Linked DNA regions of Tamandua tetradactyla. The protein of the gene in region 1 interacts with the protein of each later gene in a pairwise test. Links are inferred from orthologs where the notes say so. Each region holds a gene or a part of one and is shown in the gene's direction. Other genes may lie near its edges. The genes, in order: RPP30 and RPP14.

The links.
Region 2: the proteins of RPP30 (region 1) and RPP14 interact in binary tests that used the Homo sapiens proteins (3 or more experiments, as listed by UniProt). The link is inferred for Tamandua tetradactyla from reciprocal best matches to the Homo sapiens genes RPP30 and RPP14.

The regions. Positions count from the first base shown.
Region 1 is NC_135339.1:54,518,284-54,531,067, reverse strand, and holds the start of RPP30 (ribonuclease P protein subunit p30), read left to right. Parts: upstream 1-6,933; 5' UTR 6,934-6,958; coding exon 6,959-7,040; intron 7,041-9,741; coding exon 9,742-9,797; intron 9,798-10,103; coding exon 10,104-10,160; intron 10,161-10,610; coding exon 10,611-10,685; intron 10,686-12,784. UniProt on the Homo sapiens protein: Component of ribonuclease P, a ribonucleoprotein complex that generates mature tRNA molecules by cleaving their 5'-ends. Also a component of the MRP ribonuclease complex, which cleaves pre-rRNA sequences.
Region 2 is NC_135341.1:26,595,240-26,608,347, reverse strand, and holds the start of RPP14 (ribonuclease P protein subunit p14), read left to right. Parts: upstream 1-7,725; 5' UTR 7,726-7,832; intron 7,833-12,256; exon of another isoform or gene 12,257-12,658; intron 12,659-12,712; exon of another isoform or gene 12,713-13,108. UniProt on the Homo sapiens protein: Component of ribonuclease P, a ribonucleoprotein complex that generates mature tRNA molecules by cleaving their 5'-ends.

The DNA.
Region 1 (12,784 bases):
AAGAGGAAGAGTAGAAAGAGATGATGCCTGAGGATCTAACTCTGGAATACTCCAATACCCTGAGATCAGAAAGAAGAAAAACCAGCAAAAAAAGTCTGAGAAGGAAAGGCCATTGAGTTAGGAGGAGACGCAAGAGAGATTGGCTGCCTAAAATCAAGGAAAGAAAGCATTTCAGGGCGGAGGATTGATTAACTGAGTCAAATGCCAGGAGCTATTTCATTAGGGCCATAGAGATAAAAGCAGTCTGGAATAGATTCAAGAGACAAGGAGACTGAGGCGTTAATAATGGGGATGGGAGGTGGGGGAGTGTATGAGAACTCTGTACTTTCTGCACAACATTTTTTTATTAGACAACTTTTCTGATTAAAAAAAAAGATGAGATTCGATTCCTGGACATGCACCAAAAAAAAAAAAGATAATGAGAGAGAGAAAATGGTGACTATATGTATAGATCTACCTTTTGCAGGAGTTTTCCAGAAAGGGTAGCAGGAAATTGGGGCAGAAGCTAAAGGGGAGGGGGTGTTTAAAGAATCAAAATAGAAAGAATGAAAAGAGACTTTCATTAAAGAATTGACAGGATGCATCTTATTCTTTGTTTTCTAATGCTCAGCAGAATTTGGGGAATCCTGTATTCTTCAAAATAATATCTAAACTGAACATTTCCATCATGGTCATGACTCCACATCCAGGCAAAACTATACCTGATCCATTCTTTGAGTCATTCAGTAAACACATACAAGCTACATATTAAAAGGCAGCATTTTAAGTGCTAAGGATGGATAAGAAAGGCAGGTTCCCTGCACTGCAGATAATCAGTACCTGCTGGACAAGACAGATAAGTAAATCACTATAGCGTAATGTGAAATACCTCATAAAATAGGTATGAATCAAAGATATGGGAGCCTAGAGCAAAGAGATGCTTCTTTTTAGATACCAAAGAATTCACAGAGCTAACATTTGAGAAAATTCATCAGAAGACTGCAAGAAAGGAAGGTGCAAAGCCAACACATGGTACACTTGCCAGAGCTGTGTATTTTAGAATGCACTGGAAGATGGTAAGGGTAGACTTTAGGGAGGGGTAGGGGCAGATCATAGAGAAACGTATGCTATGTGAGGTGGGTATAAATTTTACTCTGTGCAAGAAGTGTCACATAATTTTTCTAAAGTCAAATTAAATATGACCTCTGACCACCCCCCAACCTATCTATCTGATGGGAAACTCAACTACAGTCATTATTATGGGTTCCCCTGCCCTGTCCCTCACCCCCAGACTACAGAATAGTCCTGGAATCTTGGTCCCACCAAGCAGTGCTATGTCTCCTCTGCCCTTCTGTAGTGTGGAGACCTTGACTTTGCTGGACACCTAGGATCTAAGGCCTAGCCTCAAAAGGTACATCGATCATCCCTTCCCAAAAGAAGTTTGCCCACTTCCCTGAAAGTGCCTATTACCTAAGGAAAACCAATTCACATCTCTTCTATGATCTTAAGATATTTTCCCCATCCTACGGGCTTTCTGAACCTCTCTTCCAAGACAAACAAACAAAAAAACATTCACCAATCCCTATCCTCTGCAATTACCTACCATGAGCACTAAAATGTTATTGGCCTGGGATTTTGTGCCCTAGGAAACATTTGGCAAGGTCTGGAGACTTTTTCCATTGCACAGTTGTAGAAATTTGGTGGGTAGAAGCCTGGAGTGCTGCAAAGCATCCCATGTGCTCAAGGCAGCCCCTACAAGAAAGAAATAATTATCTAGCCCAAAACGTTAATAGTGCTGAGACTGCAAAACCATGCTGTAAACTATATATTAAATTGAAAATATACAACTTGAGAAGTAGAAATATTTAGCTGATTTTTAAAAAATAATTCAGTATTCCTTGATTGAAACTGGAAACTTGATGCATTTTTCTAAACTAAAATGACAAACGCAGTATTATTATTACTGTATTGCTGTGTGCAATCCAAGAAATCAGGCTTGATTGTGCCAAATAGAAACAATATTCAGTTTTATTGATTTTCATAACCAAAAATCATTTTGCAGAAATAGAAATATTTCTTAAAAGGGATAGATTCTAAGCACAGTGGATTTTTATTCAGGGCAATGATTCTCAACTTATTAGATCCAAAATCGGCTTTTTAAATAAAATATTTTGTAATGCTCCTTTCCTAGTTTATAAACATAATTTTAAATATACTTAATTCCCAAGTTGTAATATAGTTCAGAAAAAAAAGGAAAGAATAAATAAATATACATTTAAGTATGTGAATGTTTGGGCACCACTGGATCAAAAATATAATAAAATAGATACTTGTATCTACTCCTAATAAAGGTGTTCAGATGTAAGACAAGATAACTAATTGAATGTTGTCAGCACCTCTAATTTATATGCAGTATTTTGAATAAGAGTTAAGTATGTATATATATACTTATTATTATTTATATATTTACTTACATAGCATATATTAGGTAAGATATATTAGATGATTATATATGTGTGTGTTTATGTGTATGGGAACGTGTCTGTGTGTGGGTGTATATATATATATGTGTGTATATATGTATATATATATATATATATATATATACACACACACCATATAAGTATGCTGCATTGTTAACCTAAACAGTGTGCATACTGTTGCTATGATGACATGATATTCTGAAATAGGGAACAACCCTTATAAAAAATTCCAAATAAAGCACAGTCTTCCCTCTATTTACCCATTAGTTGCATTCCTGGAAAATTCTGTGCTTATTAAAATTGTGGGAAAAAATTGTGTTTATATGTAAAACCAAGTTAGTTTCCATATTCACATAATCATAAACAGGTTTCCCTCCATATGAATGTCTGTTAAGACATTCAAAATTCGTGTAGAACAAGGGATATATGTTCATTGCACAAGACTTTCCCACCTTATATCACCCAGTCCACCTCCCAATTAGTGTGACAGGCAAAAAAATACCCACACAAATTTCCAAATGCTCCCCAGGGGTAAAATGGGAGGTGGAATAGAGGGCTTAGTGGATTGAATTAGGTACCCCAATTCAGACATGTGCTTAATCTGCATTCCTGTGAGTATGAAACTATTGCAAATAGGACCCTTAAGAAATATTTTTAGTTAAGGTGTGGCCCAACTGAATCGGGGTTGATCTCAATCCACATAGGAGGCCTTATAAAGAGAAGAAATCAGATGCAGGATTAGAGAGCGCCACAGGGAGAAGCCAGAAGTCAGCAGAAACAGGAAGTGCCAACAGAAAAAAGCACATCTCCATTTGATGGGAGGCAGGGATACACGCCAAGGAACCCCAAGGACTGCCAGAAGTCAGAACCAGAATGTATAGGGTTCAGCAAAAAAGCAAGTCTTGCCAACATCTTGATTTGGAACTTCTTCTAGCCTCAAAACCATAAGCCAATAAATTCCTGTTGTTAAGCCAAAACCGCTTCATGGTATTTGTGACAGCAGCTCTGGCAAACTGAGACAGAGTGTTGTTAGAACACTGTTGTTAAGCAGTGACTTAGGGCAGGGATCAGCAAACTCTTTCTGTAAAGGGCCAGACAGTAAGTATGTTAGGTATTGTCGGCCAAGATGCAAAACAAAGGCTATTGTGTAGCCATATAAATGTCAAGAAAGAAAACAAATTTCTACAAGGTTTTTTTAGAAAATTCAAAATACAGCAGTGGCATCTCATTACAATTTTTTTGTAATATAGGTCTACTAATGAGAACAGTGGGATCCATTTGGGAGATGTGCTGGATTGAATAATGTTCCCCCCAAAAAAGGAATTATGTCCATCCGAAACTTCAGATTGTGACCTTATTTAGAAATAGGGTCTTGCAGATATAATTAGCTAAAAGGAGGTCGCACTGGATTAGGATGGACCCTAAATTCAAAATAACTGGTGTGCTCATGAGAACAGGGAAATGTAGACACAGACACACAGATAAAGAATGGAAGCAGAAATTGAAATGCCACAGCTGCAAGCAAGAAATTCCAAGGATTGCTACCAAACATCAGAGTAGGAAGAGCTAAGGAAGAATTCTTCCCTACAAGTTTCAAAGGGACCATAGCCCTGAGGTCATCTTGACTTTGGACTACCAGCCATCAGAACTGAGACTAAATTTCTGTTGTTTTAAGCCACCAATCTGTGGAACTTTGCTACAACAGCTCTAGGAATTTTCTGGACAATTTATACTAGATTGGATTAAGTTCTGTGCCCTGATGAAATATTGCCACATTAAGCTTATGTTTCATAAGTTATGTTAACACTGATTGACACCTGCAGGAGTCCCATCTATAGTCATACTTATCAATTCTGACCAGTCTACTCTAAAATCCTCAAGACTTTTAACCGTCCACGAAAACACACTGTCTCCTAATGTTGTGCCTTTCTTGGCCACCATCTCTAAAGATTTTTAGTCACGTCAAAATTCTTAACACAGATAGCTTTTATATATTTATTCTCTTATCAGCTGCAATGGAAAATACCAAAAATAATTCAGTTTTTCATGAAATTATCCTGCAAGTTGTAAGCCATTTATCCAACATTCTGAGCAATAGGATTTTTCGTTATTGCATTTGAAAATGCTAGTTTCTATTTAGGGCCTGATCTTCCTGTTGCTTTCAATAAATATTACTTGTAAGCATGCCTTCTGTAAAAAGTTTCAGTTGCCTGGGCAGTTATTTTTCACTTAATATGCAACAATTTCAAGACAGCAATCTTTATTTAAAAACAAATCCTATTGACATTTTGGTTCTCTTTATTTCCATTCATTAAGTTTATCATAATGCATCTTTTCCATATATCAGTTATAATCCTTCCTTAATTTCTTTCAAAATGGCTTCTAAAGTTGCCTATTTTGTTCCAGTACACTTTTCATGTTAAAGAGGTAGGGCTACTCTTTATCTTCTCAATCAAACATGCTTTAATGTTAATTTTTGGAAACATACAAACCTTCTCCCTGTCTTTCATTTTCCCACTTTCAATATTATTTTCTGACCAGAAATTTCCAGAGTCTTCTTTAAGCTCCAGATCCTTGCTGCTTCAGCCACCCTTCTAGGCCAACTTTTCACCAGCCTCCTTCACTGCTCCTCTCCTATCCCATCCCATCATTTCCTTTTTCCCACTCTTCCCTCCCCTATTCTACCTCTTTCCTTTCCTTCTCTCTCCTGCCTTGCTTTCCCTTTCCTCTCTCACTTCTCCCCTCCAGCCTTTCCTTGTCCTCTTCATTCCCTTCTCTTCTCCACTCTCCCCATTCCACTGAGAATTGAGCAAATCCCATCTAAATCTACATCCACATCTGTTTCTACCAGTTTCCCTAAGCTTTGATTCCTCAGATGTGAAACACTGGTGTTGACAAAAATAGTACTTAACTCACACAGTTGCTTTGAGAATTAAATAAGATATTCATATGTGGCTATCTATTTAATCACCTAATCCTCAGTAAAGGGCTCAGTGACTTGTTATTTATTCTTTTTCTTTCTCACACTTTCTCTCCCTTTTTACCTAGGCTTAGGGTGCAGAGGAGAAAAAAAATTCCAGGGGTACAGTCTACAGCAGCAGCATGGTGACTTTCAAAGGAAAAGGCCCTCTTTAGTCCCAATGCTGCCATTTAGATGACAATTAAATTATGTTATTTACCTTCACCACACATTCATGTTTCTGACCAATCTAGAGTTTGTGGTCATAGGCGAAACTGTCTGTAGGATCCCGCAAAATCAACACTATTTTCTGACGCAAAACAAACGGTTTGCTTCTCATGACTTTGTTCTATTTGCAAACGTAGTATTTCCTTCAGTTCTCACGTAGGAAAATATCAAGTATTGCAAAAGACGAAATATTCCTTCTTTACAAAATTTAACTAAGAGAAGAATTGCATTCTACTACAGGGAACAGATTCTTCATAAAACTCTGAGTCCAACAAGGAAGTCACATAAAGAAGTACTACATAAAATATGGCTATGGACCACTAATTTTGACGGTAAGTACAGAAATCAAAAATGTTTAGAAAACTTTACCAGCACTCTGGTATTATCCAAACATCCATACGCCTGATCAGTGGACTCATTCAACAGAGCATAGAGCAATTGAGATGTGGTCAAAAGCTTATCTATACGAAGTCCAAAATATGGAAACATCAAATGTGTGAACATACAGCCCTTTGTACATTTCTCAGATGGAGAATTGTAAAGTCCAAAATATGGAAACATCAAATGTGTGGACATACAGCACTTTGTACATTTCTCAGATGGAGAATTGTGAAACACTTCAATTTTGCACCTTCCTTATCAACCCTGTGTCGCTCAGCGCTCAACCAAGGGAGCCCTGCCACCTCTTGGTTGAAGATGTTGACTACTGCAACAACGAGCAAAGAGCATCAACGCGATCCTTTCAGATCGGACAATAAATTGCCCTTTGCTCGGGCAACCCTTTTCAGATGCGTTAGGATCCAGCTCCGTACCCTCGTCCTCCACCCCATCACGTTAAGCACGTTTTGAACGATTGGATTGGTAGGGGGAATTGTAAGAAAAACAAGTTCTTTCTGACTCTTTAAATAGCGCTTCCAGCCCTTAGCAAAAAGGATAGCAAAAAAAAAAAAAAAAAAAAAAAGTCACGGAAGACGCTCAGTAAATGCATTTCGAATGAATCATTTTCTACATTATTTTAAAGGGAGAATCATGGGGGATTCGAACCTCTCTATGGGGAAATCACACATTTTCATTCGAAAGACAAAAGGATTAAGTGGGGCTGTTGATTTTGATATCCTAAGTTTTCCTCGTATTTACAGGCGGACGAAAGTCTCCGGGACTCCCTATATTCAAATATCCAACTCCAGCAAATATTCCACTGGAGGGAGGGACGGACGGATGCCGCAGGCAAACTACAATTCCCAGCATGCTCAGGGGCGGTCCGGCGACTGCGCAGATGGGCGCACGCGCGCTGTCATGTGACTGCAGCATGGCGGTGTTTGCAGATTTGGATGTTCGAGCGGGTTCCGACTTGAAGGCTCTGCGGGGGGTGATAGAGAACGCCGCTCACCGTGAGTCTCCCGAGTTTCCCAGGCCTCCTTCAGGTCTTCCAGGGTTTCTGGAAGGTCCCAAGAAGTTGATGCCCGCCGCGGTCTTATTCTGATCCCAGACCCGTGGAACACTAAGGAACTAGGGAAGAATGTCACTAGTTCAGCTCCTTTTATTCTGCAGGTTGGGGAACCCTTGGCCTAGAGGGGACTAGAGATTTGTTTAGGTCCTCACGGCTGAAAGGGATGGCCGAAGTTAGGGCTAGACTCCAAATGTTCAGTTTCCCAAGCTAGTGCTTTGAACATCACTCCTCCCTGCCTCTCACGACAATGTCTGAGCAAATGCGGGAATCGAGTACGTAGAGTGCTTGGGGGCTCAGAGAAGGGGGAGAATATAGAGGTGCGTGTGTTTGAATAATGTTATTTATTTAGAAGGGGGGTTAGGTAGAGGAGGGGGACACACTAGGCAGCACAACCAAAAGGTGGAAGTGTTGCAAATATTTGAATTGAAGAGAAGCGAAGGTCCTGAGTGATGAGGACTAATTATTGGGGCTAAGCATGGCTTCTAACTTCTTAGACTGTAAAGTGAGGGGATAGAGAACTTAGAAGATAGAGATTCCTTCATTAAGACCTTTCCCTCAGAGAAAGTTCTCAGCTTGTTGTGAGAATTGATAACTGATACTTCTCAGAAATGGTGCTGGATAAATTCACTCCCTGGCAAAAAGAATCACCGCGTTTCTTCTTGCCTTCCCCGTCACCCCCCACACCCCCATGAGGCATCCTTAAATCATTTTTCTTTCCTTTGCAACACAGTCTAGTAATGTCGGCCTGGGGTCTGCTTTCCTCATCAGTAGAAAAAGGGATTGTGCATGATGATATGGGTCTTTTAACACTTATATTCTTTGATGATTCTTTACTTGAATGTAGCTCAACTCAAGTCTTTCTTTCCTGATGCAGCCTCTTACTGACTACACCATGAGCTTCTTCAGAGAGGGGCCATAGTCTTATTCTTCAATATATTTCCTGGGCACAACAGTTACTCAGCAGCACTGGCTCATGGCAGGTTCTCAGTTAATGCTTATGGAATAAAAGACTGAACATTTTTTAGAGATAAATACAGAAAAGAAAAATTAAAATGGTTTGTTTAACAAGTTACTTGAATTAAAAATATGTTTGAAGGATATATGGTAAAGTATTGACATTGTTAGTCAATCTGTTTCTTTAAAATTAAGCAGAATTCATGACATAAAACAGAAAGTTACCACACCTTATATAAGTCAGAAGGCAAAGCACTGTTATTTGATGGGTGGAAAATTTTCAAAGAATGTAGAAAACAGAGTCCCTGTTTTTAGTTTGCGATGTGATAAGAAACTAGTGATTAACTTCAGAGATATGCTATCTAAATAATAATTATGCTAAAGACTACTTAGGGAAGTATTCCTAAGTTACCAGATAAGTAGAAAAAGTTTTCTGAAGAAACAGAATCTAGTTGAGATTTCTGAAGGGCAGTAGGGATATTATTTGGTGGCCAACAATATAAAGGATATCCAAGTGGGGTACAAGAGGTTAGAGTAGACTTTGGAGTGAGTAGAGAAGAATAGTTAAGAAGTGGAGCAGGTTGATTTGACTAACTGGGAGAAAGTAGAGGCCAAAGTATGACAAATTTCTCTTCCCCTCAGGTGTTTACTTTTAAAGATCATTTTCTTCCTGGGCCTTTTTCTGACCCCCTACACCTGGCTTCATTTTGCTGTATGCTGGATTCCTATAGAATCTTTACTTTCATTAACAAAATGCTTTTTTTTTTTTTTTTTTTTTGCAGCTCCTTGTTTAATTGCCTTATTTCCCCCAATAGAGTGTAAGCTTCTTGAGGGTGAGGATTGTATTGTTTTATTTACCCTGTGCGCTCAGCACCTAGCAGGGGGCCTGGCAGGTGGTGGATGCTCAGTAAACATCTGAAGGAGGAAGAGAAGGAAGAAGGAAGGGAAGAAGTGGAGGGAGGGAGGAAGGAAAGAAGGCAGGAGTGTAGACAGACTGGTGAGAGAGAAGACCCCTATTTTTCATTAATAGGCATTATCTTTTAATATTTGTGCCATCATCCCCATTAAGGTTTAAGTGCCTTAAAAATAGAAGTCATAATTTAGACATATGTTTGGTAGCCGGATGTTCAGAACGGTGTCAATTGGATGAGAATGATAAAGTAAGCGCCTGGCCTCAAGAAAATCTTTTGATGGTGGGCAGCTCAAATGGGAAGTAGATGGTGGTGTGAGGAAGTTAGTACTTCATTTCTCTTTAGGAGAGAGGCTTTTGAAGGATATAGGATCAGAAGCAAAAGAAATGAGTGAAAAGATAGGTGAGAGAGAAAAAGTATTAATAGAATGAAAATGAACAAAGGGGAATGAAAGAGAATGATGGTTGGAAAGGAGAAGCACAAAATAGAGAGTCTTTAGTATCTTGCTAATCATATAAAGCTAGACCTCTTCTAAAGTACCTCAAATGTGTTAGCTCATTTAATTCTCATGAAAGTTGTATGACCTAAGTCCTGCCATCTCCATTTGACAGATGAAGAATTGAAACTTACAGTTAAATAATTCTAAGTGGTAGCACTTGGATTTGAAACTAGACAATCTGAGACCAGAGTCTGCACATCACTCTGCTAAAACAGGATGGGCCTGTATGTACAGAAAGGAGTTATGTTTAACAAGAATCTTTAATTTTTTTTTTTCAGTTGGCTATTCAGTTGTTGCCATCAATCATGTTGTTGACTTTAAGGAAAAGAAACAGGTAAAATACAATTTCTGAGCTTAATAAACCAATGTTTATAGTTACTTGTGTTTATATTGGTAATATGGATGCTACAAATGAACATACTTCTTAAATGCACTCTCTGTGTGCAGTATTCTCTTGTATGTTAACAGTTGTGAATTGATGCTTACTGTGCAAATGATAAATATTTTTGTGAAGAACTGCGTGCTGTAAGGATTCTTAAAGTTGATTCAACATTAAATAAGTCACTTTGATTACCATTTTAAAGGTGCCTATTGACTGAATTTGTAATCACGATATTTAGTCCTTTCTATTTTTTTGTAGGAAATTGAAAAACCAGTAGCTGTTTCTGAACTCTTCACAACTTTGCCAATTGTACAGGTAAGTGTTTTAGTGTGAACAAAGCATAATTCCTGTTCATTTAATTTAGACATACCCAATTATGTGTGCTTTCTGTAATCTGGATTGTACCTTCCTTTGCCTAGCTACCTTACTTTTCCATCAAATCTCAGCTCTTCTGTGAAGTATTCTCTTATCATCCCTGGTACTTCTTTGGGATCTTATCCCTTGAAATTAAACAACTTTCAGGTTATCTCTGTTATGGTTTAATGTATGTGCATCTCTGCTTCTGTAGTTATATATAAATTCCTTGATGACAATGACTAGTTAGTTTTGCTTTTGTTTTCTGTTTTGGGGGTTGGGTTTATTTGTTTTTTTGATCTTCAGTGTCCCTTATAGCTGATACTTTGTAATGAATACTTTGTGATGATAAAGAGGAAAGCCAACCAGTGGTATTTTGAGCTGCTTTTGATGGTCCACTTTTACTTATAGGGAAAATCAAGACCAATTAAAATTTTAACTAGACTGACAATTATTGTTTCGGATCCATCTCACTGCAAGGTTTTGGTAAGTTCATTTTTTTCCTTCTCTCTTTTTGGTCCTGCAAGTTTTATTGATTAATGTTGAACAGTGTAGCTTTTCATCTCACACCATACTGACATCTTCCCCACCCCTTCCCATAATACTGACTCCTCCCCCATCCTCAGATTTCTCTTAGTTCTACTCATCGTACCTGTATAGTGATACCATGATCAAAGAATCCTTTGGCAAATCCTGTTCATTCAGTTCACATGTACCAGGCATAAGGCTGAATGCTGAGCATGATACTATGAATAGTATATATGACCTTTGAACTTATGAAGCTCACAACTTAATTGGCAAGAAAAGCACTGAGCAAATAATAATGACAAATGTAAGTAAGGTTTAGAAGGGGGGTTGGTAAATAAAAGATGCTGTGGGAGTGTGTAACAAGGTGGCCATCTTGATATTCTTCTTGAGGAAGTTGATATTCAAGCTGAGGCCTGAAGAACCATTGTTACATGGGTGACAAGTTGGAGAGGTAGTGTTCTCACACAGAGGATGGATTGTGCAAGGGTCCTGAAGTCGAAAGGATCGTGGTATGTTCTGGGATGTAAAACAGGGCCAATTGGGCTGAGCCTAGTGAGCTGGCTAGCCTGAAGTGAGGTTAGAGAAGTATGGGTGAGGATTCCAGGTTCAGTGGGAAGCCCCTGATGGTTTTAACCAAGAGAGTAAAATGATGAGATTTGCACTATAGAAAAAAGGATCAGAGATTTAAGGAGGAATTTTGAGAGTCATCCAGTAGGGAGGATTGTCGGGATTTGGTGATTGATTGGATGGAGGTGTTGACTGAACCACCAGGTAGGTAAATAATGGTACCTTATCCAGAGAAAGGGCACACAGAGCAGCAGTTTTGGGGGCATTGTATTTGGGATGTGATGAATTATTGTGAATTCCAGTGGAGCCTTCAAATAGGCCGTTGGAAATGAAGGTGGGGCCCTTAGAAGCGTGATCCCAATTACAGCTACTGATTTATAAGTGGTCATTCTGTAGAGAGTAATTGAAATCTTGGAAGTAGAAAAGACTGGTCAAGGTATGACATGAGAAGAGTAAGGGAAAGAGTCTCAAGGAATGTTAGCACTTATTGGTGGAGTAGAGAAGGATGAGGTAGGACTGGAGATGAGCAGGGACTGCTGAGAAGTAGGAGTGAAAACACGAAGGTGAGAAGGGAAGAGGAGAGAGGTGAACAGCCTCAAATGTGCTTGAGTGATTGAGAAGGGCTAAAAAAATGTCTCTTGGACAGGGAAGTCATCAGTGGCCTTAGCAAAAATTAAAAAATGCAGCTAGTGTATGCTTCTGACCTTGCTGAGAAATTTGATTCCACAGATGAGAGAGTAGGGTGGTTGGTGGAGAACCTGCTGTATAGTAATTTAGGTGGGCAAGACTTGAATATGTATGCCTGCTTATGGTAAGGACCCAATGGGGTAGAGAGAAAGTGAGCAGATACACTTTTCAGAGTATAGGTGGCTATTTTATCTTTAGCTAGAATGGATACCTTTATCATAGAACAGGAGTAATTAAAGAAATCTTGGAAAGACTCAGCTATGAGCTAATGGTGCCCCCCCAGAGGCTGCTAGAGAAAGAGGTGATTTTTTCTACAGCTGCAAGACAGTGTTATGGTTCTCTAGGCCCAGATAGATATAAATGAAGCTTATTTTGTAGATCATAAAGATTTTCATTTCTCTTGTTATGAGCATCCTGGAGGCCCCTTTTTGTCCCCTTCCCAAGTGGGGGTGTGCAGGAGGAGGGCAAAGAATCCTTAGTCTTGACTTTTTGTAAGATCTAGGGCCTGCTCTGCCTCAGCACAAGTCTGCCTAGCAAGCCTGCTTCCCTCTAAGTACAGCACCTGCTACTTAACTTAACCCCTCCATTTTCCTCCTCTAACTTTTATACCACTTTTTCTTTTCTCGATCTAAGAGGTTTATCGTAAAAATTTAGAAGATGCCAATCAGATGTAAAAAAATGTCCCACATCACCCCATTGTTCAGAGATTTTACATATTTTCTAGTCTTTTCACATGCATATACCTACAACATAAGTTTGAGGTTATCTTTTAAAAAAAAACCAATAATTCAGTATTTACCTTT
Region 2 (13,108 bases), on another chromosome or scaffold:
CTGAGTCTCAGCTCATTCCAGGATTTCTGTCCCATGTTGCCAGGAAAGTCCACATCCCTGGGAGTCATGTCCCATGTAGACAGGGGGAGGGTGGTGATTTTCTTTTGTTTTTAATTCTTGGTATTCCTCTGTTTCATCTCTGTGTTTCATCTCTGTCTCTCTCTTTGTCACCCCCATGCATGGGCACATGCAGACACATTCTCCCCTTCTCCCCTAACAGCTGGAGGCCTGGCTCTTCTGATCCATCAGGTTTTATCTCTTCCAGTGCCATTCCTTTAACCCTGTGGGCTTGGTTCCCTTATAAGTCACTTGTCCCTCAACCCGCCCCACAGGGAATTGGATGCTGTTCTCTTAACTTCTCCATTCCCTAGAAGGAGGCAAGAAGTGGAGGATCATTTTTATGCGGGGGTTGTGAGTGTGGCCACAGATAGGGCAGTGGAGATGTCTGCAAATTACCTGAGGGAGAAAGCCCTGCGCTGCCGTCTGGTGTCCCCAGCTGTCCCTGGGAAATTAGGGCCCAGGGCTGCTGCTCTTTAGGCTGGAAATAACCAGTGTGGGGGCTGGGGATGCCTGTACTCAAGGAGAGTCAAGACACTTAGCAACAGGAGAATCCCTCTGTCTTGGCTCCTAGAAGAACCTTTCCTTGATTGGTTCCTGAATCTGTGGTCTCCAAACACTAATGACAATGAATAGGAACCTTAGGCCACACAGAGGCTGGAGACCAGCTGAGCTTCAGCAGGGGAAGGGAGGAGAAGAAGGATTCCTTTTTTTAAATACAATTATATTGAGATCTGTTCACATACTATATAATCATCCAAAGTGTACAATCAGTGGTTCACGGTGTCATCATATAGTTACACATTCATCACCACAAACAATTTTTGAACACTTTTATTACTCCAAAATAAATAAATAAGAACACCAAGAACATCCTATACCCCTTATCTCCCCCCTATTATTTATTTGTCTTTATTTTCATCTGTCCATATACTGAGTAAAGAGAGTGTCAGTCACAAGGTTCTCACAATCACACGGACACACCATAAAAGCTATATAATTATACAGTCATGTTCAAGAATCAAGGCTACAGGATTATAGTTTAACAGTTTCAGGACTTCCCTCTAGCCACTCCAATATACCATAAACTGAAAAGGGATATCTATATAATGATATCATGCATAAGAATAATGTTCCACATGCCCTCTCAACTCTGTTTGAAATCTCTCAGCCATTGAAACTTCATTTTGTTTCATTTCTCTTCCCCTTTTGGTCAAGAGGGCTTTCTCACTTCCACGATGCCAGGTCCAGGCTCATCCCTGGGAGTCATGTCCCACATAGGGAGGGAGGGAGGGAAGAAGGATTCTTCAAGGCAGAAACTGGACTAAGGTGACAATCCCAATGACCCCCGGTCAAAGCTGGCTGGTGGGTGACAGGGTGACTGGCCTTGAAGGACCACTCCTGAAAGGCAGCTGCCAAAACATGAGCTTGAGGACGGGTCTACACTCCCTTACCAAAATCCCCTACTAAATCATGGGGCTAGATGTGGTAGAGAACTCATAAATTTTCTGATCTTAGAAAGGTACCATTGATACCAATCAAAAGCAGTGGTTTCTCTGCCCGATGCACTCAAATGAGCAGTTCCTGAGGTATCAGGTTTCAAGAGAGAAATAGTTTATTGCTAAAGCATGAAGCAGGAGATCGGATGACCTACTGGCTTAAAAATCTGTCTCCCCAAACTGTAGTACCTCTGATAGTTTTATAATATCAAAAGATGGGCAGATTGTAGGATAATGAGTATAACGGCTTGAGATGATGCCGTTAGAGATAATCTAATCATTGAGCATGTGCAGATTGATTACGTGCTTAGTCACAGAATGTGTGTAAGAAAATGGCAACATTAATATGATGACAGGTATGATTTTAGAATGAGGTATAGGTCATTTCTAGGTTAAAATTTAGCCACTGTATTGTCAGGTGGGCCAATTTTGGTTAAATCCAGCTCTATTTAGCAAGATGGAATTGGGGTGGGTTAGTTCTGGGCTGACTCAAGATCCTTCATTAATAAACATTAGGGGCTGTCTTTAGTGATCATAAGACTCTAAGGTTGAAAACAGGGTAAGGGGTACAAGTGAGGGTCAGTCACAATGTTTTTACAATCACAAGATAAAGGCTATAGTCATACAGTCATTATCAAAGATCAAGGCAACTGAACTTCTAGGAAGATGGTAGAATAGGAGAGGCTAAGTTCACACTGGCTCCATGTAAAAATGAGAGATGGAACAGAAAAAATCACCAGGACAATGGTTCCAGGGTGCAAGTGACCAGAGAGGATCTTCTACCTTGTATAAGAAGGCCCTGAATAAAAAAGTGGAGAAATTGAGACAGAGAGGATGGGGTAAGTGTGCTCAGTCATGAATCCAGCCTACCCCACAGCTGGCTTGGGAGGTTTTTCCTCACAGCTCCACAGCCAGGAGTGTTCATGGGGAACTCAGAAGCTAACAGACTTGCTTTCCTTGTGCACAGAAATCATTTTGTTAGAGTACAATGCTTGCTCTCTACCACTGAAACATGCTGCTGTGGCACTGGTCTTTTTTGGTGGAGACTTGGGGGCCCTCTCCCAGGGAGGAGGGGGAGACACAAAGTGGTGCCAGTCCGACAGCTGGCAGTGAAAGAGACTTATTTGGGTCCCAATATCACTCCCCCTCCCCCATGGATGCCCAGAGACCTCAGGCATGCATGGACAGAGAGGAGAGGCCAAGGAAGCCAGCTGAACTGAATGCTGCAACCAGCTGCCAGACAATTACAGATTGGCTGTGGGTACGAGAAGCTGAAATACCCAGTCCCACAGCCCAAGGTTATCTTGGGGCCACCAGACCTATCAGGCACACAACTAGGGTCTACACTGAGATGCACACTGCCCATCCCCTGGCCCTGGGGTTGGCAGCTTTCAGTGTGCAATGAGACCAGTGGCCCTGGCTGGAGTTACATTGGGTCTCCAGCTCAACCAGCACCTACAGGCGGGGAGAAGTGGGCCTGAGGAGAAGAAGTGGTTCAAGAGCATCATCTGCTGGGAAGAAACAGAAAGTATAGTCTGGCAAATTGTCTATCTGCCTAGCTTTCAGTAGAGCCTCAAGTAGAACTGCAATGCCCCATGAAATCTTGAATGTGGTTTAACAGGGAAAGCCCGATAAGCCAAATCTAAAAGGGGATCATCAATGCAATTCCCATTCTGAATGAAAATTTGATCCAGCCAAGAATTCTTTATCCTGCCAAGTTGTCCTGCAAAGTTAAGGAAGAGATTAAAACCTTTATAGACAAACAAAGGTAGAGAGAATTTGCCAACATGAGTCTTGCCCTTCAAGAAATATTAAAGAGAGTTCTGTCAACTGATAAAAACAAAAGACAGGAGAGGAAGGTCTGGAGGGGATATCAATAAAGGTAACTTAGAGGGTAAAAAGAGAGAGAGGGAAAAGAAAATATAGATTTGACAAACAAAAACTAAAGAATAAGATGGTAGATTTAAGAACTGCCTTTAAAGTAATAACTTTTAATGTTAATGGACTAAACTCACCATTTAAAAGACACAGATTGGTAAAATGGATTTTAAAATATCCATCTATATGCTACTTAAAAGAGACTCATCTTAGATCCAAGAATACAAATAGATTGAAAGTGAAAGGGTGGAAAAAGATGGTCTATGCAAGTTATAACCAAAAGAAAGCAGGAGTAGCCATACTAATATCAAATAAAATTGACTGTAAAAGTGATATATATCAAAGAGACAAGGAAGGACATTATATATAAAAGGGACAATTCATCAAGAAGAAATAACACTCATAAATGTTTATGTTCCCAATCAAGGAGCTCCAAAGTACATGAGGCAACATTGGCAAGACTGAAGGGAGCCTTTATTCAGGTTATGAACAGATGAGTAAAACACTAAGGAAAAATAAATAATGGGGGGGGGGAATAGAGGTAAAATAAATAGGGTAGATTGAAATACTAGTGTTCAGTGAGAGGGAGGGGTAATGGGTGTGGGATGTTTGAGGTTTTCTTTTTTCTTATTTCTTTTTCTAGAGTGATGCAAATGTTCTAAAAATGATCATGGTGATGAATATGCAACTATGTGGTGATATTGTGAGCCACTGATTGTACACTATGGATGGACTGTGTGTGAATATTTCTCAATAAAAAATTTTTTTTAAAGAAAATTTTTAAAAAGAGAGAGAGAGAAAAAAAACCTGAAGGGAGCAATAGATGTTTCAACACTAATAGTGGAAGACTTCAATACACACCACTCTCCTCTATGGATTGAACAACTAGACAGAGGATCAATAAGGATATAGAGAATTTAAATAATGTGATAAATGAATTCAACCTAAGTGATATATATAAATCATTACACCCCAAAATATCAGGATATACATTCTTCTCTAGTGCTCACAAAACATTCTCCAGGATAGATCATATGCTGGGCCACAAATAAAGTCTTTATAAATTTAACAAGATTCAAATTATTCAAGGCTCTTTCTCTGATCATGATGAAATCAAGCTGGAAATTAACAATCACCAAAGAACCAGGACTTTCACAAATATATGGAGATTAAACAATGCACTTAAAAACAATCTGTAGGTTAAAGAAGAAATTGTTAGAGACTGGCAAATACCTGGAGACAAATATAAATGAAATTACAACATATCAAAATTCACGGGATGTGGCAAAGGCAGTGGTGACAGGGAAATTTATTGCTCTAAATGCCTATATGAAAAAAGAACTGCTCACCTGGAGGAACTAGAGAAAGAACAGCAAACTAACCCCAAAGCAAACAGAAGAAGAGAAATAACTAGGATTAAAGCAGAAATAAATGAGCTGGAGAACAGCAACAACAAAAACAATAGAAAAAAATCAACAAAACAAAAATTTGGTTCTTTGAGAAAATCAGTAACATTCTATTAGAAGTCCTAGCTGGAGCAATAAGGCAGGAGAAAGGAATAAAAAGCATCCAAATAGGAAAGGAAGAAGTAAAACTTTAATTATTTGCAGATGACATGATCCTATACTTTGAAAATCCTGAGAAATCTATGACAAAGTTACTTGAGCTAATAAGCAAATTCAGCAGAGTGGTAGGATACAAGATTAATGTACAAATATCAGTAATGTTTCTATACACAAGCAATGATGTAACTAAGGAGTCAACTGAGGAGTAATAACCTCACTGAGGAGACAAGCGAAAAAAGCCATTCAAAATAGTCACTAAAAGAATCAAGTATTTAGGAAAAATTTAACTAGGGATATAAAGGACACAGAAAATTACAAAACATTGCTAAAAGAAATTAAAGAAGATCTTAACAGATAGAAAGCCATTCCGTTCTCATGGATAGGAAGGTTGAATGTCATTAAGGTGTCAATTCTACCCAAACTGATCTACAAATTCAGCACAATAACAATCGAAATTCCAAGAACGTACTTTGAAGACTTGGAAAAACTAGTTATTAAATTTATTTGGAAGAGAAAGAAACTTCTAATAGCTACAGATATCCACTGTGGAAGACAGTTTGCTGGCTCCTTAAAAAGCTAAATATCAAATAAAAAACTAAATATCAAGTTGCCCTGTGACCTGACAATACCAATACTAGGTATATACCTGAAGAGCTGAAAACAGTGACACAAACAGACATTTGTACACTGATGCTCATAGTGGCACTATTCATAATTGCCAAAAGATGGAAACATCAACCAACTAGTGCACAAACAAAATGTGGTATATACATATGATAGAATTTTATGCAACAGTAAGAAGAAATGAGGTCCTGATGCATATGACAGCATAGGGAGGATATAATGCTGAGTAAAATAAGCCAGACACAAAAGGACAGTTTTCACTATTATGACTCTGGTAAAGGGAGCAAACTCCAAATCATACAGCCCAGGAAGAAAATCTGTACTCATATATAGCAATAAAGTAGATGTTGCATCTCTACCGCTACAGTGTGTAAATGACAAGCAATGGTTTCCATATATTTCACATTTTTAACATTGACCATTCATAATAAAGATTCTAAAAAAAAAGATCAAGGCAACTGAATTATAGTTCAGTTAGTTTAGGTATTTCCTTCTGGCTATTCTAATATACTAAAAAGTAAAAGGAAATATCATATAATGATTCAAATAATCATAATCATTTGTTAAATCCTAACTTCTCTGTTACATTGTGGTGTGTAGAACATCTGTCATGCAGCGCCCCCAGCAGGGGCTGGGGCACCCCTACCTGATGAAATGCATTCATATTTCTGTGTCAGGTATGGATATCTATGTAAATGGAACAAAAGCTATAAAAAGCCTCGCCTCAATTCAGATGAAGTGTTGGCGCCAAATGAGGAAAGATTTGGTTTCCTTTTTTTTTTTTTGGCTTTAGAACTGCAGATAAGGGATCCCGCATTCACTGGTCTTTGCAGGGGAAAGAAGACTTTGCAGATGCATGTGGTTCAGACCTCCCTCTTATGACGAGAATGGGCAGGTCCTGATTTTTATTTAACATTATTATTATAAAAATGAAGCTCTCTCACTTTAAAACAAACCAAATAAAAAGAATGCCAAAAAAAATGTGACAGTCTCCTGCAGCCCACCCCCCTCAAGCCACTGGGAATTCTTCTAGACGTTTCTGTGCATCTGCACACATCCATACATGATATAAACAGAGAGACCGCACAGTTGGTGTGTGAGTTGTTTCTCACATGAACCAGGGGCGCGCTGGACATTACTGTGGTCCCACCCTTTGTGCTTTTCATTTACCTCTGTATCTTGGGGCTCAACTAGGTCAGAACCCACAGACCCACCAATTCCAGGAACAGGGCTGGAGTCCTCCAGAGAGAGTGAGGGGCAGAGGGGCAGGAGAGGGTGTAAATATCTTTACAGAGACTTCTCTGAACACCTAGAAGAGGACCTTTGACTCTTAAGAGAGGATCTCAGGACCCTTCCTTCTTGGCATCCCAGAGTCTTTGGAAGGGAGGTTTCAAGAGTCACTTCTGAGGAAGGCTTCCACTACTATTTAAATAAATTCCAGAAATGCTGGATCAGATGAAGTTAAATAGCCTAGTTCTGGTTCCCACACAAGCCAGGGGAGGACCAAAGCAGGGGAGCAGGGAGGAACCCAGAGCCATCCTCAGGGGGCTTGGAATTGATAATCTGGGTTGGAGTTTCTGGTGTTTGGCAACATTAACTAGTGTGCTGCCTCTAGAGTCCCTGCCTATAGTGGGTGCTGCCAGAGCCCTACGAGGTTCCTTCTATTGACTGCTGCACCCAACCCCAGTTGCTATGAGTGTTGGCTGCTGAGGGCTCACAGCTTCCCCTTTTCCCCAGAGAATCACCCTCAGAAGACCAGAGGTACCTAAGAGGTTGCCATATGAAATACAGGATGTCCAGTTAAATTTGAATTTCAGGTAAACAAAGAATAATTTACATATTTCCTGTGCCTATTTGTAACTGTTGTGTACCCCAAAAAAGCCATGTTCTTTAATTCTAATTTAATGTTGTTGGTTGGGATCTTTTTTTTTATTCTGTTGTTTCCATGGAAATGTAGCTCACCCAACTGTGGGTGGGACCTCTTGATGAGGTGCTCTCCATGGAGGTGTGTCTCCACCCACTCAAAGTGAGTTCCTTACTGGAGTCCTTTAAGAGGAAAACATTCTGGTAAAAGTTTCAGAGCTGACACAGACAGAGACATTCGGAGATGCAATAAGAAAACGCCCCCTGGGAAGCTGTTTCAAGCCAGAAGCCCAAGGACCAGCAACACCAGCCATGTGCCTTCCTGACTGGCCTTTCTTGAATCAAGGTATCTTTCTCTGGATCCTTAGTTGGATATTTTTATGAACTTAAAACTGTAAACTTGTAATTTAATAAATTCCCTTTATAATAACTAATCCCTTTCCGGTATATTGCATTTCCAGCAGCATTAGCAAACTAAAACATGTCCCATTCGTCATTTATCTGAAATACGCATGTAAGAGTGCATCCTGTATTTTTATATGCTAAATCTGGCAATCCTAATGCTGGAAGACAATGACTGAGGGAGAGTAGAAAAGTTTGGCCACTGGCCTCAAAGACTGAAAGCTTTCTGCTGTCATTTATGCTCCAGGGACCCCTGTGGGATCAGGCTGGGCTAGACTTGAGTTGAATCCACATCTGTACTTAGCTTTCTCTACCCCATCCCGCTTGCCTCTCTCCCTTATAGGTTTCAGATGAGAGCTCTTCCCCAATAAATCACTTGCAGAAAGATCCCTGTCTCAAGTGCTGCTTCCAGGGACTCCAGCTTAAAGCACCGTCTGCTCTGCAGTTTTCAGTTTGGATATGATATTCAGGGTTGCCTCAAAGAAGCAGCTACCAGCCTTATCGTCATATGGGTGCTATGGAGTATCGCACCTTGGCTTTGGAGCCTTTAACTACACTGGACAAATGACAACCTCTCTGAGCTTCATTTTTATTCATCTGCAAAAGATGATAATAATAATGACATTTGCTGGGTTGGTAAAATAATGTAAGCAAGCACTCTGGCACATGACAGGTCTCCCTAGATGAAAACAACTGTGGTTTCATAGCTTTTAACTTCTGATCATTTTCTCCTCCTTTGTCCTATCTTTCAATCTGATGCCATAAGTGGGTGCTATTTTCATTTGATTAAAGAAGAATTAAGGCTGTAGAAGTTAAGAGACTGGAATCCCACCCAGGCCTCTCCCCAGCCTTTTTTTTCCCCCCAAAGTTGAGAAAGCTCTTTTAGCCTTAGCAAAATTCACTTGGCACCAGTTAACAAGACAGGGAGGGGAGCTGAACACAATAGAAGAGAACAAAATGTGGATTAAACTTTTTCTTGACTGCCAAACCTTCCAGGAACATAAATATTCTCAGATTTGCCCCAACACCTTTGCTCTGAAAGATGAGAGAGACAGAGGGTGTGGGAATGGTTCCTCAAGGGCCAATGACTCCACCTAATGGAATGCTGGACAATTTTTATAAAGGCAGAGGCAGCCCTGTGTGTTTTAATTTGGAGTCATGTTAGGATAAACTGTTAAGAGGGAAAACCCCTTATACCATATCTCTGGGAAGACATTTAAGAAACTAATACCAGTTTGCGTCTGGAGAAGAATGAGAGGGAAACCTACCATTCATTGCTTATCCCTTTATTCCTTTTGAAAGGATGCCTTCAGCCTAAATTCCCATTCAAAGATAAAATTTAATTGAAAAACAAAAATCAACCAACTCTAACTTTATCATTCAAAGGCATCTCTTTTATCCTCAACTCTGGATTAACTAGACAGCACTGAGAAAATTCAGGCAATTAGGAAGGCACTTGATTTTCAGGGTTGGATGCAGAAGGATAGTGAAAATTATCCAAGGTTCTTTGAAGCACAAAAGGCATGAGCTGCTCTTGTGTCTCTGGGCTGCAGCCTGGCAGGATGGGTTTGCCAGATGGCTGGTTTAGGGTACCCTCTCTCATTACTGAGTGCTTCCTGGGTGCCAGGTGTTTTACAATTTTTTTCAAAAGCTTTTTTTTTCCTTGTGATTCTGTGAGGTAGATACTCATAATCTCTCCCTCTGATGGATGAGAAAACAATAAGCGGCAAAGGATGGATTCAAAGCAACTTCTGACAACTTCTAAAATCTAAACTTTTTTGTCTAATTTTTATTAATAAAACCAATCAACATACAATATGAACATTCTTTTTTATCACATAACTGTATATTCATCATCATGATCGTATCTTAGAACATTTGCATCAATTCAGTAAAAGAAATAAAAAGAAAATAGAAAAGAAATTCATAGATACCATACTCTTTGCCCCTCCCTTTCACTGATCACTAGCATTTCAATCTACTAAATTTATTTTAACATTTGTTCCCCCATTATTTATTTATTTTTAATCCATATGTTTTACTCGTCTGTCCATAAGGTAGATAAAAGAAGCATCAGACGCAAGGTTGTCACAATCACACAGTCACACTGTGAAAGCTATATCATTATACAATTATCTTCAAGAAACATGGCTACTGGAACACAGCTCTACATTTTCAGGCACTTCTCTCTAGCCTCTCTGTTACCCTTTAACTAAAAAGGTGATATTGATTTAATGTGTAAGAATAACCTCCAGGATAACCTCTCAACTCTGTTTGGAATCTCTCAGCCATTGACACTTTACTTTGTCTCATTTCTCTCTTTCCCCTTTTGGTTGAGAAGGTTTCCTCAATCGCTTGGTGCTGAGTCTCAGCTCATTCTAGGATTTCTGTCCCATGTTCCAGGAAGGTCCACACTCCTGGCAGTCATGTCCCATGTAGAGAGGGGGAAGGCAGTGAGTTTGCTTGTCGTGTTGGCTGAGAGAGGGAGAGGCCACATCTGAGCAACAAAAGAGGTTCTCTTTGTGGGGTGACTCTTAGGTCTAATTTTAAGTTGGCTTAGTCTATCCTTTGTGGGGTTAAGTTTCATATGAAGAAACCCCAAGATTGGGGGCTCAGCCTATTGCTTTGGTTGTCCTTACTGCTTGTGAGAATATCAAGAATTCTCCACTTAGGGAAGTTGAATTTTGCCCTTTCTCACCATTCCCCCAAGGAGATGTTGCAAATACTATTTTATTCACTTTTCAAATTCTTCTGGGATTTATCGAGGCATCACTCTGGACAAACCTACAAAGTCTCATGCCCTACTCAAGGTTCCATGTACTTATGGTGTTCAGTTAAGCTGTCCACATAAGTTATATTAGGAAATGCACCAGTCAAAATATAAATTTTGTACCAAATAAACATTTTTTACTTTAGCCTCACACATAAGTTAAAGTTTTAAAATATTAATTACCATCTATTTTCAATGCCCTGCATTATTGACATTCCTTTGTTCTTCCTCATGCAAAACATTTTTAAATTTGTACATTTAGTCACTATCATTATACACCCTAGGCATTCCTAGATTATACCATCTCAGTCTTTATCGTCTATCTTTCCTTCTGATCTCATTTGTGCCCTCAGGCTTCCTCCCTCTATCATTCTCACATTCAGTTCCATTCAGTGTTCTAACATTACTGTATTACAGTTAGGTAATATTGTGCTATCCATGTCTGAATTTTTACAATCAGTCCTTTGCACAATCTGTATCCCTTCAGTTCCAATTACCCAATATCTACCCTATTTCTTTCTCCCGATGACCTCTGTTCTTAACTGAAATATCCAAGTTCATTCATTAATGTTAGTTCTTATCGGTGAGACCATACAGTATTTGTCAAAATCTAAGCTCTTTTGAGAAAGAAAATGCCACTGTTTGTGGAGTCTGTGTTGATTCCCTCCACCCCTCCCTCATTTGCATCAAGTCCTGTTTCCTGTCAGAGGAGAAGGCAGGGAAGCAGGGCTTGCAGGATTGGAGAGTGTGGCCAAAGCTAGGACTGGAGCTTTGAGAAACTGGAGACAATGATTCTGAGAAAAGAAAAGATGGAGAATGTCTGAGCTGACCCAGACTCTGCTGTTTAAGGCAGGGATATCTCCACACCCTTCACCCCCAACCCAGGCAGAACTGGCACATGCAGTTATGAACAAATGCATTCAGTAAATACATGTAGAGTGTCTGCTGGGTGCTAGGCACTATGCCAGGTATCAGAACACAGTGGTGAAGCAACAGAGACAAGGCCCTGGCCCCCTATAAACTCCTGAGTCACATGCACACAACTGGTGGTAGGTAACACGGTGCAGAGTATGGAGCACCAGCTGAGTCAGATGGTCTGCTCCATCACGTACAGTTATGAGGTCAAGAAACCTAGTCTCTCCGTGCCTCAGTTTCCTCTTCTGCAAAATGGCATTAAAAGAAAGAATAGTTACCTCATAAGATTGTGTGAAGGTGCATGAGATAACATATGTAAAATTTTATGGAAAATCCTGGCGCGGAGTAACCGCTAGATCAGTATTAGCCCCTATTATTCTATGATTGCTGTTAAAGTGAACACACTCTGTGTTTCATGGGAATAGGGACCATGTCTTCTTTCTCTTCATTGAGTTCCCAACACCTATAATAGTGCGGAGCACATAACAGCACATCCTGGAGATATGGCATGGGGCTTTTCCCTTTTCACAGTATATCTTAACATCACTGCAAATTAAAACAGTTCTTACATGCAGACATTCGCACACGCAGCTTTCCCGGAGTGGGCAGCAGGGGGCGCTGGGCCCGGCAGCGCTCAGCTCCTGTACAGGATGTAAGCCTAGGTCCTTAGCGTGCAGCTGCGCTGTGACTCACATCCTCTCCGAGACACCATGCTTCCGGGGGCGGCACAAGAAGCAGCCAAACATAAACATTCATGGAGTGTCCGGGGTACCCAGCCCCTTGCTGCTACGTGGGAGCTCCCAGCCTTTGCAAATTCTATCAGTGAACAGGCGTGAGGACAGGTATCAGGCCAGGCCGACGAAAGCGGCAGAGGCGGAAACGCCGTGAGAGCAGCTATTCTACCGGAGCGGATTCAGTCGGCCGTGCTTGTTCCCCCACGGCTGCGCGTCCCACGTGCGCATGCGTAAGGCGGGAGCAGGCGGCGGGTGGCGCAGGCTGGCTGGAGGTGCACGTGGGCCCCGGCTTGGAACGTCAAGGAGAGGCGGCTGCGGACCGAGGACAGATGCTTCCCAGGAACCTCTCCGGTCCTCAGTGCAACGCGGTTTATGGGCTTGGTCACTGACGGTGGTTGCGGGGAGTGAGCGGGACCTCGAGTGCAAAGCACGCTGCACGCGCCTGGCGCGGGGTGGTCGCTAAATAAATATCGGCCGTTAGCCAAGAAGGGTTGGAAACAACCCAAGTGCCCATCAGTAGGGGATTGAGTTTTTAAGAAGCATTGATTTCTTCCAGAAACTATATGTTGAGTGCCTCTTATGCGCGACGCACTGTTTTAGGTCCTTGGAAAATAGTATTGAACAAGACAGATCCCTGTCTCTCGTAGAGTGTGTTGTCTATTGGGATAGTGAGGGGGAGTACAAGTAAATAAATAAGTGAATTACATAATTGTGTTAGAAGGTGGTAAATGCTATGAGAGAAAAGTAGAACAGGGCCAGGTATCTGCGGAGTTTGCAGTATTAGAGTGGCCGCTGGGGAAA